3 linked regions of the Bombyx mori genome follow. The protein of the gene in region 1 interacts with the protein of each later gene in a pairwise test. Links are inferred from orthologs where the notes say so. Each region holds a gene or a part of one and is shown in the gene's direction. Other genes may lie near its edges. The genes, in order: calmodulin, protein abnormal spindle and centrosome-associated protein CEP250.

What was found.
Region 2: the proteins of calmodulin (region 1) and protein abnormal spindle interact in a two-hybrid assay, tested with the Drosophila melanogaster proteins (2 studies listed by BioGRID). The link is inferred for Bombyx mori from reciprocal best matches to the Drosophila melanogaster genes Cam and asp.
Region 3: the proteins of calmodulin (region 1) and centrosome-associated protein CEP250 interact in a two-hybrid assay, tested with the Drosophila melanogaster proteins (2 studies listed by BioGRID). The link is inferred for Bombyx mori from reciprocal best matches to the Drosophila melanogaster genes Cam and Plp.

The regions. Positions count from the first base shown.
Region 1 is NC_085129.1:643,805-648,071, forward strand, and holds the start of calmodulin, read left to right. Parts: upstream 1-1,404; 5' UTR 1,405-1,483; coding exon 1,484-1,486; exon of another isoform or gene 1,487-2,061; coding exon of another isoform or gene 2,062-2,064; intron 2,065-4,267. UniProt on the Drosophila melanogaster protein: Calmodulin mediates the control of a large number of enzymes, ion channels and other proteins by Ca(2+). Among the enzymes to be stimulated by the calmodulin-Ca(2+) complex are a number of protein kinases and phosphatases.
Region 2 is NC_085123.1:5,077,800-5,082,031, forward strand, and holds the start of protein abnormal spindle, read left to right. Parts: upstream 1-1,309; 5' UTR 1,310-1,514; coding exon 1,515-1,526; intron 1,527-1,595; coding exon 1,596-1,793; intron 1,794-2,060; coding exon 2,061-2,258; intron 2,259-2,920; coding exon 2,921-4,232. UniProt on the Drosophila melanogaster protein: Required to maintain the structure of the centrosomal microtubule organizing center (MTOC) during mitosis. May have a preferential role in regulating neurogenesis. Required for germ cell mitosis and oocyte differentiation.
Region 3 is NC_085109.1:14,329,785-14,333,440, forward strand, and holds part of centrosome-associated protein CEP250, read left to right. Parts: coding exon of another isoform or gene 1-17; exon of another isoform or gene 18-221; intron 222-969; coding exon 970-1,139; intron 1,140-1,803; coding exon 1,804-1,902; intron 1,903-3,544; coding exon 3,545-3,594; intron 3,595-3,656. Other genes in the region: uncharacterized protein LOC101737907, read right to left, coding at 1-17.

The DNA.
Region 1 (4,267 bases):
TAGCGGAAAACTTTCATTTTTCAATTTAGTTCTATAACTCAATCACAGATGGTAGTACTGTCATCTAAACAATGGTGATGTGTTTCTTGACTTGCATAAAATCGATACTTACAATCGACAATCGATTGTTTAATAAAATTGACAATTAATTTTTTCTCTTAAAATGAGTTAAAATTTTTAATATTATAATATTATAACTTTAAAACCATCTAATCTGAAAGGATGAAATGAACATTATTTAAATATAAGGTTTTACAGTACAGAATTCGTGATTGCCCCTTTAGCTACAAAAAATCTTTTTATGGAAATGATAAATTAAAGTTATAATCTGCATGCCTTTCATTACATTCATTTTCGTTTCTATAATATCTTCTACAATGTAATAAGAATCTCTTTGTGACTAGTACTAATCTTACGGGGTTCTTACAATGAATGCTTCATAAATATTTCCGACGTGTGTTTTTAATTACATCTCATTGCACACATTGTAAATAAAAATCCTCAAATAACAGTGTCAAGCTAGGTTTTTCTTGTATTATGTATACTGGAAATATATACACGAGACGAGAACAAATATACCTAGAGCCCCAGATGCTAAAAATATTTAAGATACTAAATCGAACCTGAAGCCTTTGTTTGATTTTTCAGGGTCAATAAACACGTAAACAATAAAGCGATCATAAACAATCTACAAGTTCATATTTTTAGTCTGCTTTTACGTATCTTTAAATAAAAGAGATTACTTTGGTAGGTACTATCATAATTCAATTGTCTATATTAATTGGTAGGAAATTATGGTAATTGTTTTTTTGTTTTTTAATTTTTTATTATTTCCGGCATTCCGATTGTGTGCGAATCATACGGAAGATGATATTGCGACAAGATAGGGCAACGTTTACTTTCAGTAGGAATGCGTGTGTGGGGGCGCGGCGTCGGGAAGCCCGTGTTATCTCGTTAGCGGCGCCTGCGGGCGGCACTGCGGCGCGGATCTGGGGCAGCGGCGCTCGGGAGCGGGCACGGGCGGGCGCCGCTCTCGCTGGCGTGGGGCTCGCGGCCGCAGTGACGCATTGCAGGTGCGCGGCGGCCAATCGGCGCGCGCCGGTTCGCGCTCTACGCCGCCGCACCCGCCCCTTATAAAACCGACTATCCTTTGCAGAGCAAATTTAATCCTGTGTTGTGCGTCCCGAAACATGGACTTGGACGTTCCGAGGATAATCATTGTGTAGACCGTTTCCGCCCTGCAGCTTGCGAAACTAACCTTCTCGTGAACGAAAGACGGATATGACAGTGCGACGAATCGAGTAGTCGATTCGGAACGATTCGCGGCCGAGCTCGATCCGAACCGCGATCCCGAGTTTCTCAGCGAGGCCACTCGCGCGAGTGAGGGCGGCAGTATCGTTTCAGCCGTCGGTCCGTGCGGTCGCTTTTGCGGCGTAGTCTGTGATTTTTTAGTGTAGCTCCAGATAATCCAAGTTAATCTACAATGGTGAGTGCTATTTCTATTGAAAGGTGTCGGGAGTGCCTTCAGAAGATCACGAGGAACAGTTTCCGGGTCGTATTTCGGAGAAGTTATGCATCGGTGTTTATAGTGATGACGGCCTCCATTATATTATTGTGATGGCCGTTTTTTTTACCGCATTGCGGATTCGAGAAGTATCAGAAGGCGTAACTGAAGCCTCACAGCGAGGCTTTCGAAATAGATAAACTTCAAAGCAGTGTTGAAAGCTTTAGATTTTGCGATATTTAAAAACGAGCCTATGCAGAAACAACGGTCGCCATAATCTAATAGGTGGTGCCGGTGAAATTACGTTCTTTAATTTGCAGTAGGCCGTTAATGTCGGTTGAAATGGCGCAGGGACGTCGTTGGAAAGAAAACAAATGGCTTTGTAGTTTGGGCATATTGTCGAAAGGCCGCGGCCGCTGTTATGAGGATCGATCGCCGGGCGCAACTGTCAAACGCTCGTTGACTCATCGTCATTATCTGATATTGTACCTACGTAAAACTCTTTTCGTTAGACCGTGTTGTTGTACATAACATATCATCTGCTGTGAAATTCCATAATGGTAACTAAACTTGTCGCTTTCATCGTCGTACGGTGCCACTTATAGTAACAATCATGTAAATAAGTTTTTGTTTATCAAACCAAAACTACAGCTGTAATTCTTTTTCTTTTTTTTTTCGAAAAAGTTTAACATGCTCTTGTTATATTTTAAAAGCTGAATTCTGGTGTCTTACACCAAAATTTCCTTTGCTTGAAGTTACAGAAATTAAGAATAAATCGACGCTTGAAAGGCAAACTTGACTAAGCGACTATAACTGCTTTGTACATAAATGATAAGCAATAACCATATTCAGTGCGCAACGAAAAATAAATTTGTAGGTCTATTAAAATCATTTCAATCATACAGCTAGATTCATTAAAATAAATTTTGTTTTCAGGTATTTCAACTTTAAATTAGTCTACTGTAAAGTTCACGCATTATCGCTTAGTCACGTTTGCCTTTCAAGCTTCGATATGAATACTTGAAATCACAAGGATCGGTGTAGTCCCTATTGCCTACAGTATTACAGTTTGTTCCTGACTAAATCCCTAGCCATTATTTTTTCTATTTTATTTCAGCGGAGAATACTCATACTCGTGTTTAAAAAAATTCATTGAAAGTTTTTTGCCAGTAAAATAATGGGGATTGGGTATGTGGGGTATAATGGTGATATTTTCCCTGCAGCCATTCAAAGTTTTTGTTATGATTTATTTATTGTTCTAAGTTCGCAGATCATGGCTATGAATGTATATAAATTCATACAGAAAGAATCTGCTTTTTAATCTTATTCTAATCTTTAACTATTTTTTTACATCCATTGTTCTAGTAATAACTGTGCTACTCAATAAAATGAAGTCATGAAATGTTAGCTTGAGTATAATAAATAATAAACTGGTGGTAAACATTGATAAATGCTAAATATGCATTCTCAACTAAGGATAAACTTGGTATAATTAAGTTAATATATTATTATAACACCTAAAGTGTAAACATATGTTTAAGTTAAATATTTTTGTATATATCTGAAATTATATTTTTTTCTAATGTGTTTGAAAATCCAAGGAGTTGAGATTAATCTGAAGCTCAATTTAATTGAGTTGGGAAAAAGAAAATATGAAAGAGTTTAGCACATTCTATCATACATTATGAGAACCATTGTTAGCACCTATTGGTATAATTAATAGAGGTCTTTCAATGTGTCGAGGCTTAGCGGAGGCATTCTCATACAACTCTCCAGTTAATATGTAGGACATTGTGGGCTGTAAGCTATGTTTCTCACTACATTAGAATATCTGATAATACAAATCATGTAAAAAGGGCAATATATGTGCAATATTCTTTTCTAAAATAGCTAAGGCCAAATTATCCATATTTAAATAAATGTTCAAGTGACATGATAGTGTAATATTTACCTACTAACTACAATTGGAACTAAAATTAAGATAATAAATTCTTGTGGCCCTGTCAAATGTAGCTTAAGCGATTCTTAGGCTAACATCATTTTGGTACCCTCCGATAGTGCTTAAAGAGACTATTCACATCTAATAAAAAAGAATCCATTAAGCATGTTTATGTATTAAAATTAATTTATTAAAAAGGGAGTGATATTTCAGCTCAAATGATTATTGTCTCTAACAAGCTGAATCTAAATAATAATTCAACATTAAAAAGTGTAGTTGTATCGGAATTGTACAAAAAATGTTAATTTATGCCTCATACATTTGTGTTCCTACGTTGAATCATAACTTAGGTATTTCATACCTATTGCCTACTGTGTAGAATACAACATAGTTATATCAAGTAATATTAGTTTTATTTTTACTGTGTCAATGTGAACAAGTTAGTGACTGTGCATCACTATATTTTTTAGATTTATTTGTTTAGTTATTCATGTTATTGATAACTAAAACATAGTTAAATTAAAAATATATTGCTCTTAGTACAGTAGTATCCCATTTAAGCGGCCGTGAATTCGAGATTGGACATACATGGAGCTTCTTGATTTTCCTGGAAAAAAACTGGCTCTTAGCAATGTGTCTATATTTGAATTTTGCTTGGCACTTGCTTTTCGCCCACAGACCATGACTTGACTAATCATCAAACTTTCGGCCCACAACAACCAAATTTTTTTATTATTATTGCTTAGATGGGTGGACGAGCTCACAGCCCACCTGGCGTTAAGTAGTTACTGGAGCCCATAGACATCCACAACGTAAATGCGCCA
Region 2 (4,232 bases), on another chromosome or scaffold:
CAATTTTCGGTAAACTATTATATTTTTCTGATCGCATTAATTTTCATAGAGTACATATTTAAATTAAAAGGTTTTTGCAAACAGACTCGAATCCACACTTCAAAATAAAATAGTGTCACTTTAAAATAAAAAGTGACACTAATGCCGGCCACTCATATGCGCGCAAACATTCGTACATTGTACGAATGTTCGCGCGCATTTGAAGGGCTGTCAGACATTCATTCGCAAACTTAGCGGCTGTGCAAATGGGTTCGGTATTCAATTTGAGAACCCGTTTGCGCTTCCTCCTACACTTGTTTAGGAATGTTTCATGAATTTCTCTTCTTTTTTAATTCGTCAACACAACATTGAAGAGAAAAAGAGTTTTCAATTCTTTCCCAGGCGTGATTAACTGACATTCTGTTTTTATGGAATTTCTTTTGAGGGTCCCATATGGTCGATTCATTTTGCAGGAGTTCAATGAACTCCATCACCTTGGTGTTGTTCCAATCCATGAGGAAGGTGCGCTACACAGTAGACGTCACGAACTATGAAAATGGCGAAACGTCCATTACCTTCGCAATCGTGGGCACAACTGGTCACACGAACTAGTGGGAGACTACGCGAAGGATCGCGGTTAGCGCGCTTTGATGTCCGTTAAAAAACCGACACAGCTTGGAAAACCACAAATGCAGCGAAAACTTTGCATAATCATTTGCAAATTTCGTCCTACACTTGTGGGTTTGCGTATTCGTGCGAATGTGAGTGACCGGTATAACCGCATATTATGTTAGGCAACACGTTTTTTTGGCGGGAACGCGCGGTGTCAAGTTGTGCGATTTGTTTTATTTTGTCTATTTTGTGTTTGTTCAGGTTTAAATGTGTAATAACGGTGGTTTGTTAACTGTTTAATATCTGTGAAAATGCCCAAATGTGGGAAAATGAAACAAAGCCGCTGGACATAACTTCTCGGGATCCTCCAAAAAGTCCACTGAAAAAATCTGAGTAAATGACCACCATTTTACTAAGATTATATTTAATCTTCATCAAATACCATCTCATCTTATTTCATTTAATTTCATCCCAGTTGATTAATGTCTCAAATTAATTAACTTCATTTAATTTCATTTCACTCCATATTATCATTTTTCATAAAAATATCCCATATCATATCATCTCATTTCAATTCATTTCATGCCATGCCATGTTTCATATTAAATTAAGCAGCTTCATTTCATTGCATAATATCGTATTTCATAAAAAATATATATATAAAATATTAGACTGTATGGTGTGATATCTTTGCCTTTCCATTTGGAAAATAAAACTACTACTACTAGGCAACACTGTAAATGACGGTTTTGGTTTTAGAAATAAAAATTTGAAAATTTGAATTCAAACCAAGTTGTCGACAAGAAACAGTTAAATAAATTCTAATAACTGCTTTATGACAAAATATTAAATATTGTAGCTTAGGCAAATTATAATATGAGTTTTACAAACAATTGTGTTGATAAATATACTATGTGATAAACATGTATTTTGAAGTAAGTAACAGCTATTTTTTTCTGTTAAACAAAAACAATAGTTGGGTTTAACGAAATTTATAAATTTAGATTGAAAACACCCCGGAGCATGTTAAAAGGGCTCGACGTACTGCCTGTAAATCAGAAGAATCACCCAAAGAAGAATGTCCCCGTTTGGTGTTAGCTCCGTTCTCCAGACCACCACAAGTTGTGTTCGACAATGTTATCATTGGTACAACTTGTGAGAGAAACTTGGAAGTCATTAATCCAACAAAACAACCACAGCATGTGAGTAAAAACAGCGGTTTTCCCACTGGGAAAAATACAATACCCATAGGTCTAGCTTTCATTTGATTTGAGAAAAACTTAGAATTAAAAGACAACAAATTGAAATATACATGAATTTAGGATTCATCGAAACGTATGAATAAAACAAATTCTTAAAACCAACATGGCAACAAGCACAAGCATATACAGGTGTATCGAGAGTGTTCTTTAAGCTGAAACCACAATAAATTTTCAGTACTAACAAATTTTTAAACTTAACTTTGACAGATAACTCTAGGTAAAGCTCTACCACCAGGACTGATTGTGCATATACCCGGAGAATGGTTGGAAGTGGAACCGGAATCATGTAATATATTGACAATGGTATGGACCCCCAACCAGCCTACTGCTGTTAGAGAAACCCTTAATTTCACAAATGAGAACCATAGAAGACATGATGTCATTGTTCTTCTTAAATCTGTGGTGGTTAGTAATGATTATTATCAATTAGTACTACTCTTTTGATTTTTTTTTTTTGTAAATTGTGGACGTTAATTGGATATGTTATGTAAATAAGAGTCTAAAATAATGATGTCACTATCAATAAAATCACAATCGCTTTTATATTAAGTAAACTATTTAACCTTTTCGCCATGGGGAGCCTTGCTGCAAAGCGTTTCGCAAGAAACAAGCTCTGTGCTGAAAGTGCGCACATGACCTGTCGTGTATAGATGGTATTTTTCAGCCCAGTCACCCATAGTGTACATGCAGCATTTTGTGGCAAGAGTCACCAATAGTAGCAAAAGAGTTAAAGCAGTCGCGATATTTCCCAGTTTATTCAAACACTATTCATATTCATAAAATAAGGAATTTGATTCGGAATGGTTTAATAATGAATGACCTAAAAATGGATGCATTGTAGTATCTTGACACCTCATGCGTACTGGAATGGCAATAACGATATGAGGTATTATATTATGTTTCTATTAGTTTTCGCCAATCATCAAACCTGATGAGACTTAATAATTTCCAAACAAATATGTATTATAATATTTTGATAATAAAAAAGGCAATATCATTCATAGGATTTAACTGTAAAAAATGTATTATTAAATATTCTCATAAAATTAAATTTTTGTTGCCCACAGAATGTCAAAGGGAAGACAAACCAATCAAAAGGGTTTAAAATATCACCAGGTAAAATGAAAAGAAAGTCATCAAAAAAATCGCCAGTTGCAATTTACAAAAAGAAAACTGAAAAAATTAATAAAACCATAAAAAGTAAAGATTGGGTGAATATAAAACATTCCACTCAACGTAATATTCAGACTGTATCTGAAAAAGAGAATAATACTGTTTTAAATGAGCATTCCTTGAATTCTCACATGGAGCAATGTCCCTTTGACTCTCCGAACAGTATAGATTTTAATTTCAACACTTCCGAAATCTTTTCGAACATAAGAAAATCCAACTTGCAAGATACTTATGATAAAACTTATGCATCCACTGACAGTAGATATAATGTACCTCAAAACGTTTTAAAGCCATCTAATAGGCAAATGCATCCCAATACTTCAATTTCTGATATATTTGATAAATTAACATTTTCTCCTTTGAAGACATTACCTGCTAAAGTCGTTAAGTTGGACAAAGGTCCTAAAATAGTGCTTAGTGTAAATTCCGACAGTGACTTTGATGATAGCCTAGACTTGCAGAACAATAAGGAGAATGAAATGCATTCCATTATAAGCATCACATCGGCCCAACCTAAGAGGTGGCTCACAGTTAATCATCACTATACTCAAGCAGACTCACAGTTCACCGAAACGCCGAACATGGTAGAGAAAAAACAGCCCAATACCTCGTCACCAAAAGAACTAAACAGTCCAAACTTCACGATAAACACAGAATTCTCGCGCATCAGTGACTTGTCGTTTTTCCCTCAACGTTTTTCAACCGAGAGAAAGTTCATGCCGAAAACCAATAATGACACTCATGAAATCATCGACGATGGCAAACTATGCTCCGATACGTACACAAAAGAGTCGCCTAATACACCGTTTGAACAAAACTTTAATCAGTTGCGAGTAGAACAGAAATCCTTGCAGCACTTATTGAAAGAGCAGCCTAAGATGTGTAGGCAAGCTCTATTCAAGGAGTTCCAACAGCGGGAACATGACAGAAATTTATTGAATGCTTTGGAGCATAGTCCTTGGCAGTCTGACCTTAGAGCGGACGGGAGATCCCCGCCCCGGTCAATAACACCGCCCTTACAGTCTATCCCAGAAGAAAGCATCCATCTCTCCGATACTCAGGTGTTAGATAAAACTGACAAACAAATGACCACATTCACGATAAACCGTACCTTCGACAAACTTAACGATAAATCAGGTATTTCCCATAGCTCTAACAATAGACAGACTTGGTCCAAAAAATCCATTCGCGCCGAGCCCGATCTAT
Region 3 (3,656 bases), on another chromosome or scaffold:
TTTTTAACTTGTTCCATGATTTTATTTTGTTGTTTAACTAAATCGTTTTCATTGTTTCAAAGATGTATTATAAAAAAATAATGAAATTTCCGCGGAATTCATGCGTATAAATTCCAAAAATATCATGACACCATCAAATCGTGTTCTATTTTTGATCGAGAATAAATTGACAGATACCTAGTTAAGATTTTTTTATGTTCTGAACTGATGTGAACATCAAAAAGTTGTTATTGTGGGCGACGTGAATACCTATTTATCGCTTGTAATCTGTCTTCCGCTCGAAGGTGCAAAGTCTCTTCATTACGGAACATGTGCGACAAATATATAAATATTTAGGACGCTTAAATAAAAGCGGCTGTAAATCTATACTTCTTACTATAATATTATAAAGAGGAAAGATTTGTTTGTTTGTTTGCATTGAATAGACTCCGAAAGTTCTGAATCGATTTAAAAAAATCTTGACATAGGCTACCTATAATATTTGTGGAAAAAAAGTAGGGATCCTTACTAGAACTACAATAATGTAACCCAAGGTGTAAAAAAATTATATAAAATATTCTTTACATCGCGTGCCCTGCGAAAACTATCGAAGATAGAATAAAAAAATGTACTACGGACTTTGTAGAACACATTATTATTTACAAAAAGTGTCGGGACAGCATATGTCTAACTATTATAGTTATGCCGCAATAAGTGTTCTTTTATTTAAAAAAATATCGTTGAAATTTTTGTTAAAGACCCGAGCGGAGCCGGAGCGGACCACTATAAAATAATAAACGTTTATTTTATGTAAAAATGTACATAGAGACACGCACATATAACTAGTTTGTTATTGTGTCATATTAATATAATATAAAACTTTTTTTCTGTGTAAGACAAATTATACCCAAACTATTTAGGCTTAGCAAAGTTAGTATACGAGTCCAGTCAGTAAAAAACGATCTCAACGAACTCGGACTGATATTTCAGATCCGCTGTCTCCACAGTCGTTGTATCCGCCTGGAGAGCATCCGTAAAGCTCTGATCTGGCAGAAGCGGTACCTTCAGCGGACACTGCACGGCTACGTCCAGCTCGAGAGGACGCTGCGGCTGCCCTCGTCCGGCGCCGCCCGGGTCAGCACTGGCAAGGAACGGTTCAAGTAAGTTTTATTCAGTCCCTTCGATGGAAGGACCACTTCAAAAAAATCCTGTAAATTTACTTGAAGTGGGAAATGATACTGTATTGGTTTCACTTGAAGTCGTAAAAAATGCCTAGGACTTTATGATCGGATGTGACGTCATGGTAACGATAATCAATGGATAAGCAATGTATGAAGTTATAGGATAGCCGGGCTGTAACATAACTATATTTTATAATAAAACGACATGAGCTCTGCGTGTGACTTGTTTTAATGGCGGAAGTAGTCTGGCAGTATTGCCATAGATTACATTCTTTACCTAACACAATGGTAATCAATGGAGCTCACAAAATCAGTATTGCTGTAATTCGCTGCAATTCTCGTAATGAAATTGTGCACTTTCAAATCGACGTCGGGTGAAGAACTTAGAGAGGAATATATTTCGATTGGAAGTTGGAGGGTGATGATTAAGCAGGAAACGTGAGACACTGATATATCATTTCCAATATTCTGCCTTTCGTTCTGACTGTTATCACTTGTCTGTGCTGCTGATTGTTATCGGCCATGTATGCTACCATGACCGCTACGGTATAATACACGCAACGTCAAGCATGCGCACGTGATGGCGTCAGTACGCGGAGGGCAGTCAGACGTGGTGGTGGCTACAGAGTCCATGTGGGTACAGGTGCGCCGTGTGGGCGGTGGTGGGCGCCGTGCGGCTGCAGTACCTGGTGCGTCGCCGAAACGCGCGCGTCTCCGCCGCCGCCGCGCTGCTGCTCGACACGTACGTACACGCACGCACTCACCCGCACGCACGCACGCACCCGCACGCACGCACGCACCCGCACGCACGCACCCACCCGCAGCAACGCACACACGCCCCCGCACGCACGCACACACGAACCCACAGCTGCTCATAGTAGTCTCTACATGTCTTAGCAACTCCCATATGTAATTGTAAGAACTAGTGGTCCCTTGATAGCCGAAATTCGACTATAATTAATTTAAATTATATGTTTGTATAGGTACTATTATGATGTTATTGTCAAAGGTGCTTCTATAATCAAAGATTTCGCCAAGACTACACTTTAGACAATAAAAAAAAGTATATTACTCTATTCTCAATTTGACCACAGACTATTTATTTATTTATTTATTTATTAAGTTGCACCAACAAAGTGATCATCAATACAAAACATTGACAAAAGTTCATGGCTGATGTCACCTCAATTATAGGTGCAATCGACAGTGCATTAACATCAAAAATAAAAAAATATATACAGCTAAGATTTGAATACATTTCATTCATTGCTTATGATTAATTTAATTGGGAGATGATCCGCGACAAATTTTTCCTGTAAGTACAAGCATTAAGAAAAGCTTGGCAATAAACAAATAGTATTATGCATGCGTGTGCGTGTGTCAAATACATGTAATTTGTATAATGTTTTTTTATTGATTTAAAGTATTTTTTATGCATAATTTAAAAAAAATATTAACATTCTGCACTCCTTCTCTATATTTTATATAAGTGTGGGAAATTTCATACTCCTCCGTCCGCGCAATTTTCGTTATAAGGGGTACAAAGTTTTTACTTTACGTGTTAATATATAGATTCTAAAGTAACCTTATATTTTGAACAGTGGTTTGCCGTGCATGTTGATGCATACAAAATTGAATTTAAATTTAAAAACCTTTGTATGGTTTTTTTTTAAAGTTGGGTTGGTAGTTAAATAATGACTAAAGGAAGACCCATCTTATATCATCATAACAACGTGGTTACTGCAACTCACCCAGAGACCCGAGTTAAAAAATTTAATTATATATTGCGTGACGAATGTCCCCATCTGCAACTTTATTTCAATTAAAAAATTAATTAAGTATTTCAATTTTATATTAAATTGAAGATGTTAGTGGATGAAGGGGATATGATAGTTTGTTAGTTTTGAGAAAACGGGCAATGAACTTTTGTTACTTGTACTTTTTCAAATCAAATCAAAGTTTCTTCGTAGATAACTCCTTTATTACATGCAATTTCTAAAACTAGCCTTTAAACCCGAAGTTTTAAGGTCTAACATGGTTTATAGGTACATAACACCTTTATTCAATGTAAAACTGATAAAATTTAAAAAATGGTACTAAACCCCTTCATCCGCTCATGTCTTCAATTAATCTTTTGAATAAATATCGTTAGGCATTGCCATGCGTGTCCATAAACGATAATGACAGCCACTCCTGTAAGGAGGGTCGTATGGTCGTTTGTCTAAATTATCTTCGATATTCGCGACTCGTACATACTTATATCTTTATGGTTTAATCTCGCATTAAGTATTATTGACAATAAAAACACGAGATTAGATTGTAAAAGTACTTTTAATTTCATCAAAATAAGCACACTGCATCAATAAAGACGAATATATTTACAGTCCCGTGCAGCAGCGGCGCCCCCCCTCCGCGACCCCCGCAGCCCCCGCACGTGAGTATTCAGTCACGTTCACGCTCCAGTTAGGTTAGAAGCTGTCAAATGACAGCTCGAAT